Linked DNA regions of Caenorhabditis elegans. The protein of the gene in region 2 interacts with the protein of the main gene of each other region in a pairwise test. Each region holds a gene or a part of one and is shown on either strand. Other genes may lie near its edges.

What was found.
Region 1: the proteins of C17E4.10 (region 2) and sma-3 interact in a two-hybrid assay, tested with the Caenorhabditis elegans proteins (one large-scale study listed by BioGRID).

The regions. Positions count from the first base shown.
Region 1 is NC_003281.10:6,862,040-6,865,968, reverse strand, and holds the start of sma-3 (Dwarfin sma-3), read left to right. Parts: upstream 1-2,000; 5' UTR 2,001-2,005; coding exon 2,006-2,144; intron 2,145-2,602; coding exon 2,603-2,694; intron 2,695-2,820; coding exon 2,821-2,895; intron 2,896-2,944; coding exon 2,945-3,033; intron 3,034-3,091; coding exon 3,092-3,156; intron 3,157-3,273; coding exon 3,274-3,359; intron 3,360-3,406; coding exon 3,407-3,502; intron 3,503-3,546; coding exon 3,547-3,605; intron 3,606-3,927; coding exon 3,928-3,929. Other genes in the region: cra-1 (N-terminal acetyltransferase B complex subunit NAA25 homolog), read left to right, coding at 1-63, 104-274, 348-455. UniProt on the Caenorhabditis elegans protein: Involved in TGF-beta pathway. Plays a role in male tail tip morphogenesis.
Region 2 is NC_003279.8:9,433,327-9,437,255, forward strand, and holds the start of C17E4.10 (PRKC apoptosis WT1 regulator protein), read left to right. Parts: upstream 1-2,138; coding exon 2,139-2,246; intron 2,247-2,921; coding exon 2,922-3,106; intron 3,107-3,153; coding exon 3,154-3,652; intron 3,653-3,929.

The DNA.
Region 1 (3,929 bases), on a different chromosome or scaffold from region 2:
ACAGCTGTTCCCGAACCCGTTGGGAAAGGAAAAGGAAAGAAAGACAAGAAAGCTGCTGAAGAGGTAAATTTATCAACAAAAAACTCTTGTATGTAAATTTCAGGCAATGACAAAAGCTCTCGACGAATGCAAGGCTGTCGTCTTTCTCGAACATATAAGAGCGATGCACGTTGAACTCCGATCCGCTGGAAACTTCCTTCATACCTATCTTGGACAAATGCTGGCACTTGAAGATGAGTACATCCCGAGTAACATTGGAGAAGATCTTGGAGGGGTACGTTAGATATATGATATATTTATACATATATGTAGAGTTTAAACCTAATTTCAACACCTAAATATTTCAGGCTAAAGCTGCATTAGAAGGTATGCATAATCCAGTTGCTTCTCGCCTTCAAAGATCTTTTCTCAATACATGTGAAGATATGCACACAACTATCAAATTAAGATTCTAATTTTTTTGTTTCAGAATATTTAGACGTTGTTTTTTGTTCATCTAGGCTCCTTATTTTTTAGGCTCCTTATTTATTAATTTGTTCTTTTTTTTTTCAAATTTGTAGTAGCTCCCCGAATTGTTTGTCCCCATCTCTAAACATAATCATTTGAGTTCATCATCGTTGGATCTCTACAGATCAATCTTTCGCCTTTTCTTTCTTCCCCCGATGACGTTTTTCTTCCTCCAAAATACCGATTTCAACTGTTTTTATTTCGCCCTCTCACTATGTTCATGTTTTTGAAAGAATAAATTGCTCTCTGACTTTTTTTTTTTTTCTTGCTAACTGTGTCCCCAACCATCCTTTGTCCCCTGTTCCCTCTTCATTCTATTTCAACGAGCGGTCACCGATGTGACCAATAAGCGCAAAGGCACTAAGAAATTGGGAAAATTGAGAGAGGGTTGCGCCATGAAGAGACGCAAAGATTAACACAAGGGCACATTTACCTTTATTCTACCTACATCTATCCCCCAACACAACGGACACTATTTTATATCGGTTGCAGGGCGTGGGGAAAGGTCACCACCAACACTGCCCCAGTCTGATGTGATTCCATCCGGGTTTCGCAAATACTTTTTCAATTTCACGTTATTCAACATTTTTATGATAGAAATTCATTTTGAGCAAATGACATAAACAACATGAGATCATAGTGACAATGTTTTCAAATCCATATATTTTTTCGAGATGATTAAAGGTGGAGTAGTGCCAGTGGGGAAAGTGTTAAAAACTATTCCTATGGTGCCAAAAAGACCGAATATCATAATTAAACCTTTCAAAATTTTTTTTGAAATTTTTTATTTTATGTCAAAGAGTGGCAACTATTATATGTGTATTTAAACAAAATTCCCACTGGCGCTACAGTACTCTGCCTTTAAATGGAGTATTGCCAGTGGGAATTTCTACTCGAAAAGTCCATGAACGAATATCATAATAAAAACTTCGATTAAAAAAAAAAGTTTTGAATAGTTTTAGTAAAGTGACAAATTTTCGTGAAATCTGGAATTTTTTGGACAATTCACTACAATGTTGAAATAGAAATATTCGAAAAATAATTAAAATGTAATATATATGGAAATCTTCTCTGATCAGAAAAGAAAATAACATTTTGGCATTCTTCCAAAATGTGAGAACTTGCCACGTTTTGTCTGGAACATCCCTCATCCCAACTCAAATTGTTCAATTAAAAAGAACGGTGTCATGTCATGAAAAAAGAATTTAAAAGTGCAAACAAAAGAACGATTCATTTTTGTTTTCTTTGTGTTCATCTTCATTTTCTCAGTCTCTCTTTACCTCCTCCGCCTTCCCTGTTATCACTTATCATCTCATCATTTCCTTTACTCAAACATTCACTTTTAGCCTTGTTTCTCTCTTTCTCTCATTCATTTTCCGCTCAGTTTACCCACTTTTTTTGTTTCTGTTACCTGTTACTATTTCTTATCGCGCAAAACAAAAATCGATAATAATTATTGAATTAGTTTTTTTGAAATGAGAGCAAAATTTCAGTCAAAATGAACGGATTACTGCATATGCATGGTCCAGCTGTCAAAAAGCTTTTAGGTTGGAAAATTGGAGAAGACGAAGAAAAATGGTGTGAGAAGGCTGTTGAGGCATTGGTGAAAAAATTAAAAAAGAAAAATAATGGATGTGGTTAGTCAAATATATTTTTTAAAGGAATTTATAATAATTTAGGGAGGGACATTTCTGAAAAAGGGTCTCGACGCGCTTATGAAAGTTTCAAAACTATTTTTGTGATTACCTTTAAATTTACAGTAGAAATATTTGAGCCTCCTTCCTCTTAGTCTAATTTTTCTTACGATTTCTTATGATTTTCATTTTTTTTAACTTGCAAAAAACTATAAAAACAGTAAGAAGAAAGCACCAAAAAACAAACTTAACATTTTCGAATGTATTCGAAAATACTATTGGCGCGGCGAGACCCATCCGAATGTTAAGCATATTGTTACGGATACAATATAATATTATGATTAACATTTTCCGATGACCCTTTTCGATTCATGAATCAAAGTGCACCTTATTTATAAGTTAGATCATAAATATTAAAAAAAAAGAAATTCAACCGATCCATTTCAAATTCTAAATTCCAGGAACCCTCGAAGATCTGGAATGTGTTCTAGCAAACCCATGTACAAACTCAAGATGCATTACGATAGCAAAAAGTTTAGACGGTCGGTTACAGGTATGTGGCGCCGTTGTGGTTGCTTAACGTAAATTTGTTCGCTAATCAGACAACTGTGATAACTTTCAAAAATAACACTTTGGTTTGAAATAACGACTTTTTGACGCCAAACTTCCGGCTTTTCAGGTATCCCATAAGAAAGGTCTTCCACATGTGATTTACTGTCGAGTATGGCGGTGGCCGGATATAAGTTCTCCTCATGTAAGTTAATTGGATATATTAATTTGAAATTTTTGAATGTTCATTTCAGGAATTACGTTCAATTGATACATGCTCCTACCCATATGAATCTAGTTCCAAAACCATGTACATCTGCATTAATCCATATCACTATCAGAGGTTTGTTCTGAAAGTTGTTTAAAATTGGAATACATTTCAAAAATGAATAAAATTCCAGATTATCACGACCACAAGGCTTAAATTCTTCAATGCCATCACCACAACCAATATCATCTCCAAACAGTAAGCGTTGGATCTAAAAATTGTTTAAACATATCAGAATCTTCTATTAAAAAAAAACAACTAAACTCTCTTTAAAATTCTCTAGGGAAATTAAATGAAAAATACATAAAATTGCAGCTATCTGGCAGTCTAGTGGAAGCTCAACGGCATCTTGTGCAAGCTCGCCGAGCCCGTCGGTTTTTTCAGAAGATGGAGGAGAAGTGGTTAGTTTTTTTGCAATACACATTTTTGCAAAAATTATAATTTTCAGCAAGTTCACCAGCGACCTCCACCGTTCCGTCATCCCAAATCCTGGGCCCAAATTACGTATTTTGAGTTGAATTCGAGAGTTGGAGAAGTTTTTAAAGTGAGGTTTTGATTTTTCAAAACAAAACAAAATTGGAGTTTCAGCTAGTGAATCTGAGCATTACAGTCGACGGATATACTAATCCATCAAATTCAAATACAAGGTAAGATTTTGAAAGACATTCGAAAGTAGAAATAAATTGATTTTAAAAGTGAAAAAACCAAAAAATAATTAGTTTTTTTCGATTTCGGTCGGACTTCTAAAAAATGTTCTTACAAAATATAAATATTATTAGTTTGATTTAAATTTCCTCCATTAATACGGTATAATACATATCTTCTCTATAATATTATCATAGTTATTAAAAAGTGGACACTTCGAGTTAATTAACGTGAAAATTGCTGATTCGAAGCTTTAACTTCGAGAAGTTCTGAATAATAATAATTCTTACCGGTTTCTTTATTAAAATAATCCGGAAATTTCAGAA
Region 2 (3,929 bases):
AAACTTTAATTTTTGCCACATGGAATATTAAATATTTTTCAAAAGATTTTGAAAAAAATCATTATTCCATTTGCCAAATTTTAAAGTTTAACTTCAATGCTCACAGTATCAGTTTTCAGCATTTTTCCTTTTGAAACATGCGTTTTACTGTGGGCTCTTCTCGAATTTTTCTCGAGAATTCTTTCCCACCATCATATTATCTCCTCTTCTCTCTTCCCCGCTGAAAAAAGATTTCCATCCCCTCTTCCCATTCTTTCTAGGATAAAACAAATCATTCGAATGATTTATGAACATTTTCTTTTTCTTATCCCTCGCATATTGCTTTCAAATTTCCTATTTTCTCTTCGATTTTTGTCATCTACCTAAATTGTCAAAAACCAGTACCCCCATCACCATCGCCACTTTCCCCCACCCAACTCGATTTTTATCGCATTTTTTTTCGTTCCCATCCCCCACTCACCCCGATTTTTGTGTCTTCGAATAAAATAAATCTTAAAACGTCAATGAAATGTGTTCGAAAAGGAACATAGAATGTGGATGACTCATTAACGAATATCTCGGTCCAAATTACTTTCATTGCTTCCTACGTAATGTGGCTAACATTTGCTGGCATGAAAGTTTTGATGTGAAATACGGTCCCAGGTCTCGGCACGACTGAAATATTTTGGAAATGAAGGTCGCGAAAAGGGTTGTGCGCCGTTAATGAGTACTGTAGTTCGATTTTCTCGCGTTTCTCTCCACGATTTTAATAGTTTTTTTTTTCTGTTTTCAAGTGTTTTCCTTTAAAAATAAGAGAAAGCGAGAAGTAAAATAATGAAAAATCGAAGAAAATGTGTAGTAAAACGAGCAGAAAGGCGATACTGTACTCTTTAAAGGTGCATGGTTTTTCCGCGTCCAATATTTGAAAGATGTCGATCGTGTCGAGACCTGGCAACCAATTTTATCTTAAAAATCGCAAAATTTAGCGAAAAATAGTATCACATCAGTATCATGCAATTTTTTCGAAATTTGATCCGCCGTTAAAAACAATCTGAAAATTTTCCTTACGATATTCGTTCATCTGATTGTGAGCACATTTTATGTCTATAAAACAGTAAACGTAGAACCAACTCATCCTTCAAAAACGAGCACAAAATTTCGATGAAAATTTCCTGAAAATATTTACTACCACTTAACTTCATTATTATTTAGTATTTGGGTCTATTCGTGTCTTTCAGGTTTATTCATCCAACCTGTTCGTTCACAATGTACATAAAGTATATACTTCAGACATTGCCTCGAGAAGAATATCATTGAAAGGGAAATTATAACGGTCTTATGTACAGGTTATTGCTTTTGAAGCATTGCAAATTTTTGCAGTGGTATTTTTTCTTGTTAACATCGATAAAATTATACTAATATATTCAGTAATTCTGTGGAAAAAAGTTGAGTGTTCATTCAGTTACTCGGGCGTTCGCTCCCACTTTTCTCCAAATTACGCTCAGTTTTAATTAGGTTCATCATTCTGGGTGTGATCACGAGAAGATATTCATTATAACATTAATCTCGATTATTTCCCCGTTTAATCTCGGTTATCATGTCTCACATATTATTCCCATGATATAATTAATATTTTGGCGAGGTAGCTTGAATTCCAGTTTAAAAAAAAACTAATTTTAAATAATTTGTTCACTTTTACTTTAGAGTCATTCAGAGTCATTTAGAGATCACAAAATTTCGCGTCTGGGTGATAATTTTTTGAGTATACAGCTGTTTTTTAAATATTATTTCTCATAAATTTATCGAAAAAAAATTAGATTAGGAGATTCTTTGACACGGTCCTGGTAGAATTGATGTCCAATATATAAATATCTTATGACTCAGTCACTCACACATGACTCGTCTTCTATGCGTCTCCTATTTTTCGACACTATTTTCCATCTCACATTGTTCTACCAATTCCCCCCTTGTTTCCTTCCTCACTCTCTTTCCGTCCGTTTGTCCGTCCGGTGTTAGCCCGCCGCTGCTCTTTTGTCTCACCTTTGGAGCCAGAAGCCACCGCCAGTTTTTCGCCTTTTCAATTTTTTTTGTTTCAGAAAATCGTGCCGTCGTCATTGGGTCACACGAAGTTCCCAACATCTTCGGAACTTCCGACGGAGATGACTGCGTTGCGTGAAGCACGTGGGGATTCTTCATCGGCTGATCCAATTAATGGAACACGTGGAAAAGCAAATATCAATGAAAGGAAATTTGCATTTCTGAATCAGGTAAATAGCCAAATTTGATAAAAGTTACAAAGATAGAGATGGATTCCTTATCGAAAAAATTTATAAAAAATAAATTTGTTTATCTCAGAAGAAGTATTTCAAGTTCAAATACATTCAACTATATTAACTTTAATAAAAATAGGAAACAAAAAAATCGTAATTTAGGATTTTTAAAAGATATTTGATATTTTTCTAATGCTTTTCTCACCCAATTAATAATTTGATGGTAATTTCAAAAAAATCAGATATGAGAAAATTATGAAGTGTCTATTTTTTAAGGAAAATCTCCAAGTATCATATTAAAACTTTTCGAAAAAAAAAATTTCATTTAGAGTCAAAAGTGATAAAATTGAGTTTTTACCTATCATAATTTTAGAAGTCGATCAAAAAGGTTCTTACAATTTTTAAAAAAATAGTGTTTCAAATGTTTTTATTTAAAAAATCGAGTTTTCGAACCTACGTCAATACTCGAAATTACCCAAAAAGTTGACATTTTTCGTAAATTTAACAATTCCCAAATTGTTGGCTTAAAAACCGAAAAAATTCGGAAAATCTAAATGTTCTCTTCCTTTTATGACTTAAATAAGTTTATTTTGAAATTAGTTTCGAAACATGATTTTTAAAAACCTCGTTTTTTTTTTATAAAAAAAATTTCAAATCAGTTTTTCTATTCAGGTAACTCGTCCAGACTACCGTAGTCTACCAACATCTGCTGCCACGTCACAATCATCAGTTCCATCTACACCAGTCTCTGTTCCAATGAGAATCAATGGAAATGTAGATCAAATCATGTTCCGAGAGTTTGGAGCTCCAATTGCTACACCAGAAGACGAAGAACAATTGCTCGATGATCTGGAAATGTGAGTCAATTCTTCTTTTTTTCTCTTGAATATTTTATGAGTTTCAGTAAATCTGCGCCACTGCTTTCACCGCGACGTACATTCGCAGATTTTGAAGATCGAAGCTCAGAGGAGAAAGAGAATCGGAGAATTGAGGAAGATGATGATACAGAAGCTGATACGACGATTCGGGAAGAATTTGATTATGAAAAAGAAGAAGAAGTATTGAAAGAAGAAAAAATCATTGATAAACCGAATGTAGAAACTGTTGAAGAACACAAGGAAAATAAAAACGAATCTCCTGATTTCATTCGTATGGTGGAAAGTGCTCCAGAATTGACAACATCATTTGATGAAAAAGAAGAAACAAATTACAATAAATCACCGGAACAAGAAATTGAAGCTGAAGAGATTCGAAAAATGACAGAATCATTTGGAGAACCACGGAAAGCAGTTCTTGAGCGGGTTACTGTAGAAGAAACTGACGATGAAGAGACTGAAACTGAAACAGAGACAGAAAATGAGGAAATGGATGAAAAAGATGTTTATGATGATGTTCGAAGACAGGTGAGCTAATTTATTTTCAGAAAATATTCAAATTTGAATATTATATATATACTAAATATATACTTCGAGGAAAAAATAATTTTTAAAAAATCAACTCAACTCCTCTTTTCTTAAACTTTAGCAATAAAAAATTCAACAAAAAAAAATTAAAAATTGAATCTTGAAGTCGCGGAGAAGAAAATGCATAAGATTGGGTTCGAATTTCTACTTCAGGCATCTCATTTCCCATCTGAATTCCATCTGAAATTTGATATAAAATCCTTCTTTTTCGAGCATT